Linked DNA regions of Yarrowia lipolytica. The protein of the gene in region 1 interacts with the protein of each later gene in a biochemical or structural test. Links are inferred from orthologs where the notes say so. Each region holds a gene or a part of one and is shown in the gene's direction. Other genes may lie near its edges.

The links.
Region 2: of the proteins of YALI1_D35593g (region 1) and YALI1_D33418g, one has a biochemical effect on the other in vitro, tested with the Saccharomyces cerevisiae proteins (9 studies listed by BioGRID). The link is inferred for Yarrowia lipolytica from reciprocal best matches to the Saccharomyces cerevisiae genes PAH1 and PHO85.
Region 3: of the proteins of YALI1_D35593g (region 1) and YALI1_E07818g, one has a biochemical effect on the other in vitro, tested with the Saccharomyces cerevisiae proteins (2 studies listed by BioGRID). The link is inferred for Yarrowia lipolytica from reciprocal best matches to the Saccharomyces cerevisiae genes PAH1 and HSL1.
Region 4: of the proteins of YALI1_D35593g (region 1) and YALI1_D03888g, one has a biochemical effect on the other in vitro, tested with the Saccharomyces cerevisiae proteins (2 studies listed by BioGRID, with this or other methods). The link is inferred for Yarrowia lipolytica from reciprocal best matches to the Saccharomyces cerevisiae genes PAH1 and SPO7.

What each region holds. Positions count from the first base shown.
Region 1 is NC_090773.1:3,557,589-3,562,738, forward strand, and holds YALI1_D35593g (uncharacterized protein), read left to right. Parts: upstream 1-1,680; coding exon 1,681-1,789; intron 1,790-2,214; coding exon 2,215-4,505; downstream 4,506-5,150. Other genes in the region: YALI1_D35575g (uncharacterized protein), read right to left, coding at 1-172; YALI1_D35624g (uncharacterized protein), read left to right, coding at 4,767-4,775, 4,820-5,062. UniProt on the Saccharomyces cerevisiae protein: Mg(2+)-dependent phosphatidate (PA) phosphatase which catalyzes the dephosphorylation of PA to yield diacylglycerol. Required for de novo lipid synthesis and formation of lipid droplets.
Region 2 is NC_090773.1:3,340,313-3,343,776, reverse strand, and holds YALI1_D33418g (uncharacterized protein), read left to right. Parts: upstream 1-2,059; coding exon 2,060-2,944; downstream 2,945-3,464. Other genes in the region: YALI1_D33428g (uncharacterized protein), read right to left, coding at 1-1,069.
Region 3 is NC_090774.1:779,828-786,892, forward strand, and holds YALI1_E07818g (uncharacterized protein), read left to right. Parts: upstream 1-1,992; coding exon 1,993-2,495; intron 2,496-3,361; coding exon 3,362-6,527; downstream 6,528-7,065.
Region 4 is NC_090773.1:386,744-390,035, forward strand, and holds YALI1_D03888g (uncharacterized protein), read left to right. Parts: upstream 1-2,064; coding exon 2,065-2,742; downstream 2,743-3,292. Other genes in the region: YALI1_D03865g (uncharacterized protein), read right to left, coding at 1-428, 1,567-1,570. UniProt on the Saccharomyces cerevisiae protein: Regulatory component of the NEM1-SPO7 complex which acts as a phosphatase and dephosphorylates the phosphatidic acid phosphohydrolase PAH1. Essential for the formation of a spherical nucleus and meiotic division.

The sequences.
Region 1 (5,150 bases):
AAACGCCTGCAGATAGGTCACCTGTTTCTGGACAAGTAGTCAGTTTGCCATCATCCTGAGGAAGCACTCCTCCCTCATCCCTTGGTTTCTTTAAAGCCATCACTTGGGGCGAATCCACCCTCTTTCTCTTCAACGAGAGCCCTCTCGACTCCAATGCTACTGGACTTTCCATCGTTTCTGTGTATCTCTTCTTTTTGTTCTTCTGTAGCGAAACGGTAGAAAGCGTTGAGATGAGCTTGAGATGGACTGAGTGGTGAGAATTATCAGAGCCTCCAAAGGTTAGCTACTGTACGCACAAACTTTTCAAAGCCTAATTCTGATTATGCAAGGTGGGCAGAATTCCATAAAATGATGCACAGGCGTTGTGACGGCCAGAGAGGGGTGACAAAGTGTTCAGTATTGTCAATATATTATTTTCATTGAATTTATCCCACAAAAACTCCTCTCTATCTCTATATTTTCGTAGATTGCGGGTCCTTTATGGCCCTCACGTGCAACAAAAATGACCTCGAAGCTTAACTTTTCGAGGAATTTTTTTGCCACAGTCCTGAGACATGCACGAGGGAGGACCTTGGAGTTGGAGCAGGTAATTGAGAGGTTGCTTAGTAACGGGTTTTGAGTTTAGGATATTCCGATTTGGGACATGCGATGTGTCGTACTTGCAGAAATGGCCAGTAAATGTCTGACTGAGGACCGCCCGCAGAAGGAGTAGTCCGAAATAAGCTAATAGGATAGTTTATACACATGGGTCGTTTCAGTGTTGGTTACGTAAACAAGTCTGGATTTCTGAGTTCGCCACCGTCTCAGTACAAAGTTCTGGGTGAACTCTTCATCGCCCCCTTCGTGCTCTTCAGCTTACATCATCGAACCCAAATCCGGACCGTTAAGTGCCAGCAGACCCTAGCCCTACAAGGTGGGGAAGCTTACATTTGCAGGGGTGGTGGTGTCTGGTTATTGACGGTCTTGGGCAGGAGACAGCAAGCAAGTTTCAGATAGACAGAGAGGCTTGCAAGACATCCACATTACATGTCCAAAAACAGTCTTTATGATGTGAAATAGTCTCTATCGGCATGGTACGTACAAGTACGTACTGCGCCCATATTATGTATGTATTTGTGTTGTTACACGCACTACCCACTGTGGCCAAGAGCATTTAGGCCCAGCCGGCTATACTTGAACATCGAACTACTAAGGTGCCAAAAACAAGCCGAGGTAGAACTGTGATTGGAGAGCTGTTAGTGACATAATCTACCCTTGCACATCTCCGATGACTAAAAAATTCGGTTATTTGCCCAATATTACATCTACATCTGGCATGAGAAGCTGTTGTGGCCTCACTCTCACCTCAGTTGTGCACCCCCCCTCGTATTTTCGCTTGAGTCGTTTTCCCGAGCCTCGGAGACAAGGTTCCACACACACAGGCCGCCCCATTTAGGCCAAGTAACGGTGATGAATTTTGTATAATTGTTGGGCCCAGGGCTGGTGATTTTGAACCATGATTCCAGCCATGTTTGTTTGCTTTTCAGGCTGTATTTCTGTGTGCTAGTCGGCACTTTTCATCCACTCCCCACGTGATCACATCGATTGGAACAGCAAACCCCTCCTTGTACTTGCTGCATATCTGTATGTATACCGAACTCTGTGAAGGTGCCCAACAGATCATCACCACACAACCACACGATGCAGTACGTTGGGCGAGCCATTGGAACCGTTTCCAAGACCTGGAACTCCATCAACCCTGCAACACTCAGTGGTGCAATTGACATCATTGTGGTCGAGCGGGAAGACGGTGAGTATGGCCATCAAGAGGCTGTTGGAGAAGTGGAGCTGATGCAGTGACCGACGGTGACTTACAGGATGCAAGTTGAGAGGGTGATAGAGAAGTGGACTTTGGGAACAGAGAGTGGGTGCAAGTGGCCTTACAGTTGTTACTTCTAGCTGGCAGTTACACCACTCTTGTAACTATCATGGTCCGTATGATGTGACCACATGTTGTACACCATGACTGTAATCGTGCCCAGGTGGCAACAGTATGATTCACAGTTGTTATGTCATATGGACAAAGTTGTAAGAGGCCAATACAACTGGAGCAACCAGCTTGTTTCGGGTTTCCTGTCAACTACTTCCCACTCACTCGAAACACTCAACACATGAACACAACGTGGTGGCGTAACACCTCATCCCCATAACCACCATATCCACACACTAACCCAGGTGAACTAAACTGCTCTCCTTTCCATGTGCGGTTTGGAATCTTTTCCCTGCTGCGACCGTCCCAGAAAAAGGTCGAGTTCTGTGTCAATGGCACCAAGACCGAGCTGCCCATGAAGGTGGGCGATGGAGGAGAAGTCTTCTTTGTGTTCGAGACCGACGCAGACGTGCCCGAAGAGCTCCTGACATCCCCCGTCATTTCTCCCTCTTCGTCGCCATCCTGGGGCCAGGAGGAAGGCGGGGATGGTGAGCCGGACTACCTTGCTCTGAACGACTCTAAACAGGGTGGCGACAGCAAGCACGGCAGATCGCCCTCGGAGGGCCCACCATTCAGATCACCTTCGGCGGATCACTTACATGAGATGGGCAGCTTCGATGATGAGAATGACCCTGAGGTGAACAGAAGACAACGTGCGAGCACGGCAGCTCCAGAGCCTGTTCCTGGTTCGTTGAAACACCCAGCCACTATCTCGGAAGGCATCTCTTCGGCCTCGTTTTCCAACAGCGATACTGATCGAACAGACACTTCTGGACCCACAGAGACAGAACCCACAGAGCTCACAGAGCCTACAGAGCCCACAGAGCCCACAGAGCCCACAGAGCCTCTGGATCTTGAGCAGAGTCTCCACCGGGCTGCCACTTCTCCCGCCCCTTCGTCCGAGGAGATTTGGGAGAAGGCCCGTGCACTGTCCAAGAAACTCACATCAGAAAACATTCAGAGTAAAATCTCCGACAACGGAGACATTATTCTGGATATGACTGGTTACAAGTACGACCACGAGGACGTGAGTCGATCAGAGGAGCTGGTCAAGAAAATCCTCGCTGAGGAACTGGGAGAAGACAGAGACCTGTCCCACATCCTGGTTGAAGACGAGGAGGGTAACCTTGTGATTCAGAGCGCTGGAGACAGCCACCATCACGAGCATATGAGCTCGCCCGAGTCTCTGGCCCACTCCCCTCAGCCCCTCCCTTCTTCTAACCTTCCGTCTCAGGCCTCGGACAACAAGCACTACGCCAAGACCATCCGTTTGACGTCTGACCAGCTCAAGTCTCTGGATCTCAAGCCCGGCAAGAACGAGGTCACCTTTGCTGTCAATAACGGCAAGACGTCGTGTTCGGCCCAGCTGTTCTACTGGAAGTACGACATTCCTGTTGTCATTTCCGACATTGATGGCACGATCACCAAGTCCGATGCTCTGGGCCATCTGCTCACCATGATGGGCCGAGACTGGACCCACACCGGCGTGGCCAAGCTCTTTTCCGATATCAGAGCCAACGGGTATAATATCATGTATCTGACAGCACGATCAGTGGGACAGGCAGATGCAACCAGGGCATATCTAGGCGGTGTTGACCAGTTTGGCTTCAAGCTGCCTCCAGGACCCGTCATCTTGTCGCCTGATAGAACCCTGGCGGCTCTCAAGAGAGAGGTGATTCTTAAGAAACCTGAGGTATTCAAGATGGCGTGTCTGCGGGACATTAAGTCGCTGTTTGGCGAGACCGAAGACGCCACCAATCCATTCTACGCTGGATTTGGCAACCGAATCACCGACGCGTTGTCGTATAGATCTGTCGGTGTGCCGTCGTCTAGAATCTTCACAATCAACTCGAACGCCGAGGTCCATATGGAGCTGCTTGAACTGGCTGGCTACAAGTCCTCGTATGTCCACATTGCCGATCTTGTCGACCACTTTTTCCCTCCGGAAAGCGAGTTCACGACCATTCAGGAGGAAAAATACACGGACGTCAACTACTGGCGAGATCCCATTATTGACCTGTCTGATCTGACCGACGACGAGCTGACTGACGATGATGAGCTCTCCAAGTCGCCCAAGTCGCCCAGATCTCCTAGAAGCCCGCGGGCCGGTTCGGCAGGCTCCAGCGCGGCTCCCTCAGGCTCGGGCGCCGACCCTGCCGGACCCTCCGAGCCGAAGGACTCCGCGAACCCGTCGAAGTTCAGCTATAAGAAGGCTCCTACGAACTCTCGATTCCAGCCCGTTTCGTACGATCTTGATCTTGACGACGGATACGAGTACGACGATGACGATGACTATGATGACGATGAGGAGTTTGTGGACGCTGAGAGCGACGCGCTGGAGGAGGATGACGACGATGATGATGACGTCGACCTAGACAACGACTCTGACCACTCCCCTGTCAAGCCGCCCTCGCAGATGCAGCGAGTCATCAACAAGACTATTGAGGACAACAAGGGCCTGCACATGGATGAGGATGACGTTCAAAAAGCCATGAAGGCCCTGAAGATGGAACGAGCAAGCATCAATCCTGAGTAAATAGGAAATCAAGCATAAATATATCCGTACTGTACACCGTAGTTTGTGACGTCGAAGGGGAGGGGGACAAGAGAGTGAAAGTGTAGCTACTTGTAGTATGTATAAGTTGTGCGTACCTGAATGTCACGGGACCTGCGATACGAATGCTGGTGAGACCCAACCATGGTTCCCGCTAGAAAGCCAAGATATTATCTGGATCTACAGCTGAGTTTGACGTTATTTTTTTCCCTCCTGAAAGGCTTTGTTAGGTTTGCATCGTTCATGTATTTGGTGTACACCTTTTTCGGGTTCCGATGGTGCTTCCATAGGTGGAGGAGCAGGTCAGAGACACATTGTTTGTGGATAGCGGATTGTTATGCCCCGAGTGGAGCATCATTTTAATCGCAGGAGTTTATTATATACTGTGTATACAGTGCACTAATTTTTCCCCTGTCTCCTCTACACTCCCTTACGTCATTAAATGGCCGCTACTGTATTCACACTCTTCCGACCCGGATCAGATAAATTTTTCAAGAACTTTTTTATCTGATTTGTATGCATGGTTTGGGGGCAAGTAAGCCGTACATAGGAGGCCTGGAAGTAGGGGCAAAAGTGGAGAGTCCCTGTAACCACTGGTTTGTGCAATTTTGGGGGTCGCAAATACAT
Region 2 (3,464 bases), about 220 kb from region 1:
TTTTCTCCAGCAGCTTCTGGGTCACCTCGGGCTCGTAGGTCTGCCAGGATTTGCGTGCGCGCGCGTCGACTCCCTCGCCCACGTAGCCTTCCTTGATTAGAATGTTGACCAGCAGGCCGTTGCCGCAGCCCAGGTCATAGAAATAAATATCGTCCTTGTTCTTGTACATCTGGCCCCACAGCTCGATGAGAAAGGCGGCGATGGCAAGATCTTCAAACACGTGTTTGCGAGGGTCTGTGGACTCGACCCATGAGGACACCAGCGAATGTGCGTACTTTTGCTTCAGGTAGATGTATCTGTCCTGGAACTTGATTCGGTCGATGATCATGTCGTGATGCACCCGTTTCTTGTAGCCTGCCTTTTGACCCGACGAGTGGCGGAACACAGTGTGGAGAAGATGCAGGGCAATTCGACCGCATCGTTCCTCCTGCTCGGCCGAGAGCTCGTGGTCGGTATACTTTTCGTAGTAGACGGAGATGGCACTTCCGTCAAAGTACAGCAATACGGCCTTGACACAGGGCAGGTAGTAGGGACACGACTTGGGATGGTCGTGGTGCGAAATGTAGGAAATGGCGATTTTGGCGCCCTCGGACGTTTCTTTGCCGTCAGAGTCCCACAACGGCTTGTCCGAGTGGACGATGCATGTTTGGTTGACGGAAAAGTCGTTCTGGGGGTTTCGGGGGATGATTCGACGAACAATGACTCGTTTGACTGGACAGGGAGTCACCTCGACTTGTCGGGGCTCGTAATCCTGCAGATTCGGAGGAACTGGAGTGTTCTTGTCCTTGTCTGTATCCTTCTTGTCGTCGTCGACAGGTCCTTCATGGGTATCGAAAATGAACCCTTCATTGGCCTTGTCCGTGCCCATGATGTTCGGCATCATGTTGAGCGAGTCAGAAATGATATCGGCTCTCATGATCACCGACGAGTTGATGTTGGGCTGGCTGATCACGTTGAGCATGGCCTCGAGAAAGTGCTGGGCCCCAAAGTCGACCGGGTGCGACAGATACGGCGTCCATTGTGTGCCGACCGCGGACGGCTCGCCGCTGATATCGGTGGGTGTGAACATGGCGTGACTGGTAGAGGGTCAAACGGGTCGCTATTGTTTTTCTGTCTGATTTGATTTTCCATTGTGATGCACGGCGAAAAGTTAATGCGCCAGGGGGACATGAAGGAAGAGCAAACGGGGGACTCTGTGGGTGTTGGAGTGGGAATTGTGAAGAAATAATTACATAAATATGATTGCAATCGGACGAGAAATCCACTGGAATTTCAAATGTCCAATTCGACCCACTTTTGAGCATTTCAAGCCACCCCTCACCACTCACCCCGCCTAGAGTCACCGCCGCCGCACAACCGAACAGGAAAGACAGGTTATGACTCATTCGTGGGGGAAAGAGAAAGAAGAGGACCATTGAGTCATCCGAAACATACAACTCAAACCGGATCTTTAGGGATCAGATGTCACGTGGGCCGAAACCCGACCTTGGAATATTGTTCTATGTTGTCGAGTAATCCGTTAAGTAAATAGTGAATATTAGTTGGATTTGATGGGGGTACAGGACGACTCTGTAAGTAGGGTTGAAATGGATCCAGAAACACGCGGAGAATTGGAATCACGTGAGAAGCAACTACAGTACCATTTGGCGTGAATTTGGACTCAAATAAGTCCTTATTTTATCATCTACAATGAACCATTCTCCTACCTCCGCTGACTCATAGTTCAAGTAATTTTATACTTCTTGACACGTGATGGTGCATTTGGTGAAAAATGGATCTGGATTTCGGCGGTCCAGTTTGAGAGCAATTTAGAGCTGTGGGGGTATATATATATATATATATATATAGATGTGCTTGGGGTCTTGTTTTTTCCCTTCTTGTTTTCTCTTCTTTTTTACCACTCGGACCCTTTTGTCCGTCTCCTGTGGTTTTCCCCCTTTGCTCACGGTTTGCTCTACTGCTTGTCCCAACCAGCTCCATGCACGTCGTCAACATCTAAAACTCAAGTACAGCTGCCAACTGAGTCGTCACCACACACAGTCGTCCACCACCACCACCAATGAACACGTCATCGCAATTCCAGCAGCTGGAGAAGCTCGGAGAAGGCACGTACGCCACGGTGTACAAGGGCCGCAACCGAACCACGGGCCAGCTTGTGGCGCTCAAGGAAATTAACCTGGACAGTGAAGAGGGCACGCCTTCCACGGCCATCCGAGAAATCTCGCTGATGAAGGAGCTTAAGCACGAAAACATTGTGACGCTGTACGACGTGATCCACACGGAAAACAAGCTGAATCTGGTGTTTGAGTACATGGACAAGGATCTCAAAAAGTTCATGGACACCAATGGCAACAAGGGCGCGCTGGAGACCAAGCAGGTCAAGTGGTTCATGTACCAGCTACTCCGTGGCATTCTCTTCTGCCACGACAACCGGGTTCTACACAGAGACCTCAAGCCCCAGAACCTGCTCATCAACGCCAAGGGACAGCTCAAGCTGGCTGACTTTGGTCTGGCCCGAGCGTTTGGAATCCCCGTTAACACCTTTTCCAACGAGGTCGTGACGCTGTGGTACCGGGCTCCGGATGTGCTCCTTGGATCCAGAACCTACTCCACCTCCATCGACATCTGGTCTGCAGGCTGCATCATGGCCGAGATGTTCACTGGCCGGCCTCTGTTCCCCGGATCTTCCAACGACGACCAGCTGCAACACATTTTCAAGCTCATGGGCACGCCCAACGAGAGCACGTGGCCCAATATCTCGTCGCTGCCCAATTACCGATCCAACTTCCAGGTCTATGCTCCCCAGGACCTCCGAGTCATCATCCCCCAGATTGATAACGTGGCGCTAGATCTGCTCTTGTCGCTGCTGCAGCTCAAGCCGGAGAACCGAATCACGGCTAGACAGAGTCTTGAGCATCCTTGGTTTGCCGAGTACCATCAGTAAGCTGCATCAACCGCAAAACCTGTGGGAGCATGGGTTCAAGTATCATTGCTTCCTGCCAGTGCCGGCACTAGGTGCCGTTAAAGCACCACTGGAAGACCGACCCAACTACTGTTACTGGATCTTCACAGGCTAAAGAATTAACAAGGAGGAGGATAGCACTAATAGATTGTCGTGTTTGAGTGGTGCAATAGTCTGAAGTTGTATTGGAGAGGAATGGGCCGTATTAAAATAGTGAAGAGAGATCGCCGTACTATTTAATAGCCATGTAACACTCCAGGATCTACCGGAAAAACGAGTCACGCGATACACACGAGTTGAACATGAAAGTCACGTGAATTGCACGTGACTTGAACTTACATTCATGTCTGTACCATATGTACAGTATGTACATACATTCGCTATCTAAAACATCTCGGTCTTATGTAGCCTCTATTTATTTGATTCATGTCATAACTGGTATCATCTGAATCCCCACGTGATCAGGACTGTGACGAAATTTGTTACACAATAATAGGATCAT
Region 3 (7,065 bases), on another chromosome or scaffold:
ATGCCACCGGTATAAATAGCCCGGCTGTCGCCCATGGTTAATGGAGCTGTCCACGTGAACCCCCTGCGGGATAAACGCAGTCACGTGATGTGCCGCAGAGTCTCTTCCCAGCGCATTACGTCATTTCCGGGAAAGTGCGCTACCAGTGCTACCGAATGTCGCCCTATGGAGGGCTTGGGTGGCTACTTATCTTTCTGTCCACTACTCGTCGTGTGGCGGAGACCCATTTATATATGATAAGAGCGATAAATGGCTACTTGTAGTCAAGGAAGCTCCGATATTGGCTTGGCAGGCGGGAAATTACGTCGAATTAGCTGCGATACAGTTTTTACGATACAAGTGTACAGCTACGAGGAGCTACTGTTGAACTGCTCCCCACTGCAGATTATTATTATTAACCATGCTGTCTATCAGAGATCGGCACTGAGATGAATGTTCAGGCGCTCTTTCACGTGTATCCAGAGTATACGAGCTGAATCACTCTTCAGAAGGTGTTGAATTGTTGTTGTACAGTATGTACATACGTACTTGTATCAGTAGTAACTGTCTTGTACTCTTACCGTAATCGTACTGTATCGTATTCAGTAGTGGTGGGTTCTTGTGCAGAAGTCACTACTCGTAGTCGACTTCACCATTGTTGTGTCGCATACAAATTCACGTTCCCACTCCAGCTCAGAGGATAATGACGCATTCCGCTACTGGCTGGTGGTTGCACCGGATTGGCTCCACTCGTACCTTTGTTCTGGCACCAAACACGGCTATTTTGGGTCAACTTTGAGCGTTTCGAGAGCTGTCATTGCCATTGTCCCGTCAGTGTGGCCCACAGTAAAAGGTGTATTTTTAGGGCATGTTTTTATACATACTAATTCGGCCCACCATGTACAAGTATACATCAAAACAGAAGAGATGGGGATGACACGGTCGAATAATAAAACGCGGAAATGAATGTACAAGTACAAGTACAAGTGCAAATTTCCCAACAAGGCCAGTTCTTCTGTGTATCAACACATTATATCCTGACAACCACCCAATATACCACCGCTCCGTCTCCGTTTCCCTCCACTTGTACTTGTACCTCCAACCCAAGATTCCACTGCACCCTTGCATCTGGTCAAATTCATGTTACAGTATGTAACGTGTAAGACCACTCCTACAATAATCCTACAATAATTGGCTACTTGTAGCTGATATTATTACGGCTGTAAAATGCAAATACCCTGTGCAAATACAGTCAACTAACCGCTCGACACCTCGACTGTACCACGTGGACAACATTCAAAGTGTATCACTCAAGCCGTACAACTGTGAATATATCCCACAATGGTCTCCATGACAACCATTGTGGACATCACGTGACCGGCGACAAGGTTGCAGATCTCCGTCTTGCTGCTTGTGGGTAAGGGTTTCAGCACAAAAATGACCCTTGACTCGCGTGTCGCGTATCCCAAAACGGCTTGGAATGTGAGCCATCAGATTAGGCCATGATGAGGCTCTTTTCGGTACTGTAGAGTTGAGCTAAAGTGACGGAAAAGCAATATTTGGGCCTTGAATAATTCGCCAACAAATGTCATGAACCGTCCAATTCGTCCACGGCCCGAAAATCCACATTTTTCTCTACATATTTCCCTCAATCCACATGTATTGTTTGTTAGGATGCTCAGCCGCGCATCAACTTTGTTTGTGCATTCTTCGCGTGTGGAATGTGGTTGTGGGGGTTGATGGGGTGGTGATGAAATAGAGAAATATATATGAAAAAAAAGAGAAAAATGCCGTTCGAATTATCCGTGTTTTTTCGGATTTTTTTGCTCTCAGTTGTAAGCCACAATACCACCATTTTTCAACCCACATCATTCCAAAGAAACTCTACAATGGGCAAACTCTTGCAAACAATGCACCATGCAGGCCGAGTGTATCGTTGGTGCTACACCTTCGTGGAGATAGATTGTTGGTTTCTGACACAGTCGTTCCTCTACCACCGACACACAAGCGACAATGCACAACCCAGCAGCTGTTGCAGCAGCCTCGCGGGCATACCCCACCGACCCCATGGTGCAACAAATACAGCAACAGTATGAGGCCCAGCAGAACTACAACTACAACGCTCAGGCACAAAACACACAGAACACACAGAACACACAGACACAGACACCGGGCCAGACAACCACAGACCCCACGACAAAACGGTTGTCCCAGACATCGACGTCGTCCAACAAGAAGACAAAAACGCACATTGGTCCTTGGCGACTGGGCCGAACCCTTGGACGAGGCTCCTCGGGACGTGTCCGACTAGCACGACACTCGCACACCGGCCAGCTTGCGGCCGTGAAGATTGTACCCAAGGCAGTGGTGGCCGACGCCGTCAATGCGGCCAACGGAGAGGAGCATGGCGCCACGGGGCTACCTTACGGTATTGAGCGGGAGGTGATCATCATGAAATTGATTGAACATGCCAATGTGATGGCACTGTACGATGTGTGGGAGAACAAGGGAGAATTGTGAGTATTGAAGAAGCGTGAAAATTACCTATTGGTGTGGAGTGTATGGTGGTGAAATCACAGGGTGGGTGGTGATGTTGTGGAACAACGAGACTATTTTGACGCGTTTTGATGGTGAGGCGAGCTTTTGGTACACTGAGAGGTGTTTTAGAGACATCAAAGATGACAAGTAAGGTGTTACAGCCGAAGTATATCTCCTACAGCTCTCAGTCGTCTCTCTAATTTGACTAAACGCGTCTCCACACTGTCACATGGCTCAGATAGTCCCAGACGCAGTTCCTGGACTGGCACATGACTTTCAAGTCCGTCTTTCCCTTCAATCACTCATTGACATACCCCCCTTTAATAGTCAGATGAATGCCCCGAACGGTACATTTACAGGGCACTGGGCGTGGTTCACACAAGCACGGTACACTGAGCACATCAGGACACTAAGAGACTCAGCAATTCGAGAAAGACGCATGCTTGTGGATCTTTGATTTAACTCTGTAAGCCTCCAACTAGTTTTGGTGCTTCTATGGCATATATCAATGTTCTCTTCACTCGCTTGTTGTGTTTGTTTACCGCTTGCCATTTCGTGGTTTATTATTCGGGACATACAGCCTTATCTTTGCGGAGACCAGTGTTTGAAGCTGTATCTCATTTCCTATTTTATTTCTGAGTCTCCAACCACCACCACCACCACCACACCGCTCCCAGGCAGTGCTACACTGTACATGCTGTATACGCTGCATCCCTGTGTCCATGCAGGCCAACTATACACAGCGTGGATGTGCGCGACGTATACTCAACATGGAATTGTCGCAGCGGTCGCTTGAGGCCCGTTACCAGGACAACGGCCAACCATTATACCCATACTAACCCAGATATCTCGTTTTGGAATACATTGAGGGCGGCGAGCTGTTTGATTACCTCATCAAAAAGGGCCGCCTGGAGGAATATGAGGCCGCCTCGTACTTTTTGCAAATCATCAATGGAGTCGACTACTGCCACAGATTCAACATTTGCCACCGAGATCTCAAGCCCGAGAACCTGCTGCTAGACAAGAACCGCAACATCAAGATTGCCGACTTTGGAATGGCCGCTCTGGAGACAGACCGGATGCTGGAAACCAGTTGTGGATCGCCTCACTACGCCTCTCCCGAAATTGTCGCCGGTAAGACATATCACGGAGCCCCCTCGGATATCTGGTCGTGCGGTATCATTCTTTTCGCGCTTCTGACCGGTCATCTGCCTTTTGACGATGACAACATTCGAAGATTGCTGCTCAAGGTGCAGACCGGCAAGTTCAATATGCCGTCAGAGCTGAGTCCATACGCCAAGGATCTCATTTGGCGAATGCTACGAACAGATCCTACCACTCGAATCACCATGGACGAGATCTTCCAGCATCCCTTCGTGCGCAAGTACAGCGGAGGTGTGACACCCACTCACATCCATGCTCCTTCTTACGAGCATGTGGCCCGTCCTGTGGCTTCGGTGCAGGACATTGATATAGAGATTCTCAAGAACCTACAGATTCTGTGGCACGGCGAAGACGCCGAGATCATCATGCAGAAGCTGCTGTCTCCCGATGCTAACCCGGAGAAGACCTTTTACTGTCTGCTGATGAAGTACCGACATGATCATGCTGCCGCTGTGGCTGCCACTGCTCCTCCCACGTTGCAACAGCAACAGAGCCAGGAGATGCAGCCTGCCATGCACAAGTCCCATAGCCACTCGTCTCGCAAGCAACACAAGCGCAAGACAAGCCACAACAGCCATCGACTTGGCTCTCGGGGTTCGCTGGTGTCTGTTTCTTCGGCCCACAAGCGAGGTGTTTCTTTCACCCATGTCAAGAAGCGATCTCAGCAGAGCATCCGAAGCATGCGAGGAAGTGCCAGCAACTCCGTCGTCGCTTCTCCTAGAAAACAGACTGCCTCCGCACCTGTTTCGGCTGGTACTGCACCCATTCCTTTCAACGTCAACGTTCCTTACACAGAGGCACCTGCTACTGCACCCGCAGCTCCTACAACCGCAGCCGCTACATCCACAGCCACTAGAGCACCAGCACAGCCACTGGCACCAACACAAGCGGTTCAGTCACCACCACGACAATCACAGCCTGTCCATCAACAGCCGCCAACATCACGACGGGCTCCCATCTCGTCAGCTCCCTCGTGGCTTACACGGTCGCCTCCTGCCAGCAAGGATGCCGACTTTGAAGCCTTCCTTGACTCTGCCTTCAACAAGCCCGTCAAGACGAAGAAGAGCTACGGCAGTCTGCTTGGTTCTCCCGTTGACGCTCGACGCCATGTGACTGACCCTGCTAACACGTCCATCGCCTCTCGAACCGCAGCTGGCGCAACCGCTGCGAACACATCCAAGCGAGCAGTAACCATGGCATACAACGATGAGTTTGAGTTCGAACGGCCCATGTCATTGTTTGATCCTCGAGAGGTAGGAGGAGACACTGGCCGTGCCCAGCAGCCCAGCGTATCTCGCGCTCAAACCATTTCTCACACTCACACCCACTCGCGAGAGCGTGTGGCCAACGCTCATTCTGATACCCCCAACTACCTGCCCATGATTTTCGAGGAGGGCGACCGGTTCGCAGATGCCATCGAGGAGGAGTTCCATCTCAACATTTCCGACAACACTCTTTCTGCCCCCTCCACGAACCACACAACTCCTATGCTTGGGGGCGATCGAAAGTCGAGTGAGTGGGAGAACCTGTTTGATTTCACTGAGCGAGGGGACCAGGTTGTTGTGGGCGAGGACTCTCTGCTGGACATTTCTTTCCACCGAGACAATGCCAATGAGGCCACTCCTGTGGCTCCTGCTGCTACCCATGTTGGTCGGGAGTCCACAGAGCTTTACAAGGATCTTCAATTCCCCGAAATCCCTGTTGTGGACCGAGATGAGACTGCCGTGGAGTCTATGCCTCGAACCCAGTCCAAGATGAAGATCTCGGGCCAGATGCAGACAGACAACTTCATGAAGCGACCTTCGTCCATCAACCTCAACGGTCATCTCAGCCAGAGCAACCTATCGCGACAGACGACTTCTGCTTCCCAGCGACGTCCTCTCGTGTCTCGTGATATGAATACCCATGCTGCTTCCCCTCGAGAGGCCGCCAAGCCTGTTAGACAGTTGCAGGCAGCTGCTGAACTGCACGAACGACGACCTGTTGAGGTTCTACAGAAACAGCAACCGCAACAGCAGCAGCAGCATCATCATCAGCAGCAGCAGCAGACTCAGCATCAGTTGCAGCCCGCACCTGTCTTCCGAGAGAAGCCTGTGGTGTCTGCTCCACGACGGCCTGCACCTGCTCCCCCCGTGCAGAGTGTGGCCGACACCATGGTTCTTCCTATGCACCAGCAGCAGCAGAACAACTCGCAGTTTACCATTCCTGCTCCTGTGCAGACTCAGCCACCCCAGTCAAAGTCCAGCCGAACGAAGTCATTCATCCGACGGTTTGGATTTGCACCCAAGCGTGAGGCTCCAGTTGCTCCCACTTCTAAGGTGACCATGATCCAATCTAGCGACTATGGTGCTGCTCCTGGTGTGAATGCCAACGCCCACATGAATGCACAGAAAGATCCAGCTGCACCTGCAGCTCATGCAGCAGCTCATGCAGCTCACACGTCCGGTACTGCTCCTGCTACTGGCGACCCTTGGAACGTCACTCAATCGTGGTTCATGAAGATGTTCTCGCGACCCAACGTCGCCCCCCGGCAACCTCCTCAAACCCTCTACTCCACTCTCACCAGCCAGCAGCTGGAAGACGAGATTGTGGCTCTGCTTGCATCGTGGCGCAAGTATGGTATTTCCAATCTGTCTGTGTCACACTCTTCCATTAAGTGTCAGATCAGCTCGCGAAATGCTCTGAAAATCAAATCGGCAAAATTGCATATCGACATTGGTCCCCTCAAACACACCAATAGTTTTGCTCACTTTTTCCACGATCGAGGCTCGCAGGGCTCGTTTACTCAGCTCTATGACCAGATCAAGGCGCACCTTGTTTCTCAAGGTCTGCTCATTAATAACTAAACGTAACTAATATAGCTAATTAATTTTATTTAATGAATGATAATATAATAATATAATGATGACGTGTATGTGTACGGTACATTGTACTTGTAGGAGTAGCAGTACTGACCTCTTCTTGACTGGCATAGCACAAATCTGCTCCTTGTTGATAGAACGGCACATGAGAAAGAAGCATACAGTGTGTACTACAAATTGTATTTGTCATTAAGTACGATATATATAAGAAATGACGGCATATTCAGGAATGATTCTATAAAACAAATATGCTCTGTGATGCTGGTTTGTTCATGCCGCCTTCCGTGTTGGATACAATCAAACTACCATGCACGGTAATGTCTTGAAAGACTGCCCCATGTCCGTAATAGCCAATACTGTAGCATGATTCGAGTGTAACAGCAGGGGAAGAGTTAACACAAGGACTTTGAAGGCTCACTTCTGAGATATCCAGTCCACGAGCATGGAAGGACTGTTCTGCGTAGACCCTCGGTAGCCGACATATACTGTAAGCATCTGCGCCTTGTTGTGCTTGCCAGTCCAT
Region 4 (3,292 bases), about 3.2 Mb from region 1:
TCCCTCGTCCACTGCGGCAATCACGTAGTGGATCATGACTCCGCCCTTGGATACCTCGCCCTTCTGGCCGGCTTCCCAGGCCCGTTCAATGGCTCTGATTCCGGCAAAAGCGCCGGGCAGAGCAGGATGCAGGTTGATGATGGACATTTTGGCCGCCTCCACAGGTTCCAGAAACTTGGGCGACAGAATCAGCATCCACCCAGCACATACCACCAGCGAAGTGTCGGTTTTGGATACGATGAAGTTGCCCAGATCGGCGTTGAACTTCTGTCGGGCCGCCATACGCTCCGTCTTGGCATCCTTGGGCAAATCGCCATAGTAGGACGCCAGAGAATGGACGTGGGTGGGGATTCCGGCCGTTTGTGCTCGCTCCAGTCCATAAGCGGTCGGAGACGACGAAATGACGAGCGAGATGCGGGGGCCGATTTCTGCGTCGTCAATGAGTGCCTGGAGATTGGTTCCCGACCCGGAAATCAGCACAATGATGTCTTTGGTCATGTTGTGTGGGGGTGTAATGGAGTGACGATAATTTTTTTTGCCGTGACCTCTTTTTTTGGTAAGTAAAAAATAAGGTTCATTGTGATGGAAATTAAACTTTGGCCGATAATGTAGTACAATGGAGGACAGGGAGGCATTATACGGACCGAATTTGTATGGCGCGGGGCGGTTCTTGTGAAGGAACCTGTGTTGGTCACGTGATTGGATATATCCCCTTTTTTCGGCTCATTCGGAGCTTTCTATCAGGCTCAGAAACGGATCACTTCTTTCTGCACAATTTACACGGGGTGCAGGATAGTGTAGATAATGTAGAAGAACAGGAGCGCATTTTTCGGTGTTTGAGAGGAGCAGAAGAGATGAGAAGAGTTGCTATTGGGTATTAGCCGGCTGGTGAATACATTTTTTGTCTGTAATTTTTCATTTGGACCGCCGCTTAGCGAGATCCGGACTTATCCAGAACGTGATTGGTTGGTGGGGTGTGAAAAGTTAATTTTGGCTGTGGAAAATGAACATGACGAGATATTGGGGGTTTTTGGAAGTGAAAAAAGTCCAACAAGAGATTGAGCAGAATAAATACGGTGTTTTTTATCTCCTGAAAGTTTCAGAAATCCAATACGACCTAAATAGACGCTTCTAGAGTGAATCTATTCTGATGCAGGGAAGATGGCCACTAGGAGGAACATAGTGGATGAAGTAATCTTCATATTGAGATATATTTTGGTCTGATGAGTCTTTGGCACAGTTTATTTGTTCAGCCAAAAATTCACCCAATTCCACCGGCCAGATTCCAAGTTAGATACTTCATCTCTACGACCCGAGTAACTGTATGCATGATCATAGAGGTAGTAATAGTGGGGTGAAAAATGGACTTAGAGAGATTAGGAAGTGATATAAGAGATTTATTGATCCATTTAGAAGTCGATTATCAAATCCAAAATTCCATATTAGCTCAACAACAGTCTCAAATCTGTGGAATCATGCGTATTTTGTCCCTCGCATTATAGATGGTCGATCGATTGCTGAGCATTTGAAGACATTTATAACTCAAGTGAGACATAATTTGGACACTCATTGACAGAAATCACACTTTTGCCACTTGTCTCATCCCCATATACAATTTCACATCTACGTATCTCTCCCCCTTAGCCACTCTACAACACCGCGACTTAATACCCCATCAAACTCGCCCAAAAATGACCATGTTTATGTTTCAAACATACCATTCGATTCCCCACACCTCCCTGACTCCAATTATACTACTATTATCCCCCAAATCCCTCGCCCTCAGGATTTAATTTCCCCCCAGACCCCTTTTCTCTTCGATTACTAATCAGCGTTGTGAAACCTTAATTTGGGCACTCCACCGTAGACTGTGAATTTTCGTTCCTAGCTCACCACCACCCTGCGATACACGTTAGTGGAGCAGCAAACAACGCCAGCGGGTTCATAACGTCAGCGCTAATCCTGTTAATCACGTGACCTGAAGAGGGAAATAGACTCTTGCCGCCGCCAAATTCTTCCCCGCCAAACTCTCTGCGCCCAAGTCCCGACGTCACTCTCATTACCATGGAAAGCAGCCCCGACTTCCTTCCAGAATCGGATGGAGACACAGAAGTGGAACTGCTGCCCAACCTCAAGCTTGCGGGCGTCACGGAGCCACGCCGACGCGAAAAACCCGTGTTGAAACCGCCCAAAACCGCAGATGCAGAGAACATTCCGTTACCTCCTTCTCCTCCCCCGTTATCGTCTCCTTCGGAGATTTATTCGAATCTGCTAATCCTGGAGGAGTCTCTGAGACAGCAGTATCTCAACCAGCGGCAATCGCAGCGTAAGTACTCGACATTTTACTTTGTTTTGCTGAGTTTGACGGCGTATTTGGTCTACTCTCAGATCTACCCTTCCATTTATTCCTACGTCTTCTTTTTCCATCGCTTCTGTCTGATTGCGGTTCTGTCAACTCTGGGACTGTTTCATCTCTCTGGAATGTACACCAAGAAACTGGTTTACCCAAGGAAGTTCATATACAACTCAAATCGAGGTCTCCGCGGGTTCAATGTCAAGTTGGTGAAAACGGGAGGCTACTTTTCGTCCACCGTTCATTTGGTGCTGAATACAAGGGTGTTTAGCACCGAGAACATCGAGCAATGGGAAGAATACAGATTGGGGTACTTTGAGAGAGAGAGAAAGAAGAAGATCAAGGAAAAGAAGGAAAGGAAGGAAAGGAAGGAGCCTGTCCGCAGTTGAAAGAGAGAGGAAGGAACCTGTAGGCAGTACAGCGCGATAAGGCTCTGGAATCATTCCGGCATGGTATGAAGTACAGCCCGAACGAATTACTGCCCAACGAATGACTGCCCAACGAATGACAACCCAAACATAATGTTCTCATCTGTCTCTGGCGACACTTCTGACATCCAGTACACGGTTGTTTGCAGTTCGTGATTAGAACTGCTCTCTCAGAACAAACCCCGAAAGATCTCTACTGGACTCTGAATAGGACTGTCCCAGAGAACTACTAAAAGGAAGTATATTTATTTTAATGCATGTGGTGGATAATAGGTGTATGGTGGTGTTTATGGGATATGTACCATACCATATAGCCACAGTAACTCGATCAATTTTGACCGGATCAAAAAAAAATCAACGGAAATTTAACCAGCGAGGAAAATGAAGGAAAACTCATCTTGCAAGTACAAAATATGTTAGTGTCTTGTCTCTCAGACACAGGAATCGTCTGACCTGGGGGCATTCACCCAAATCCTCTCAATATTCATCGGATCACAAATATCTCGACAGG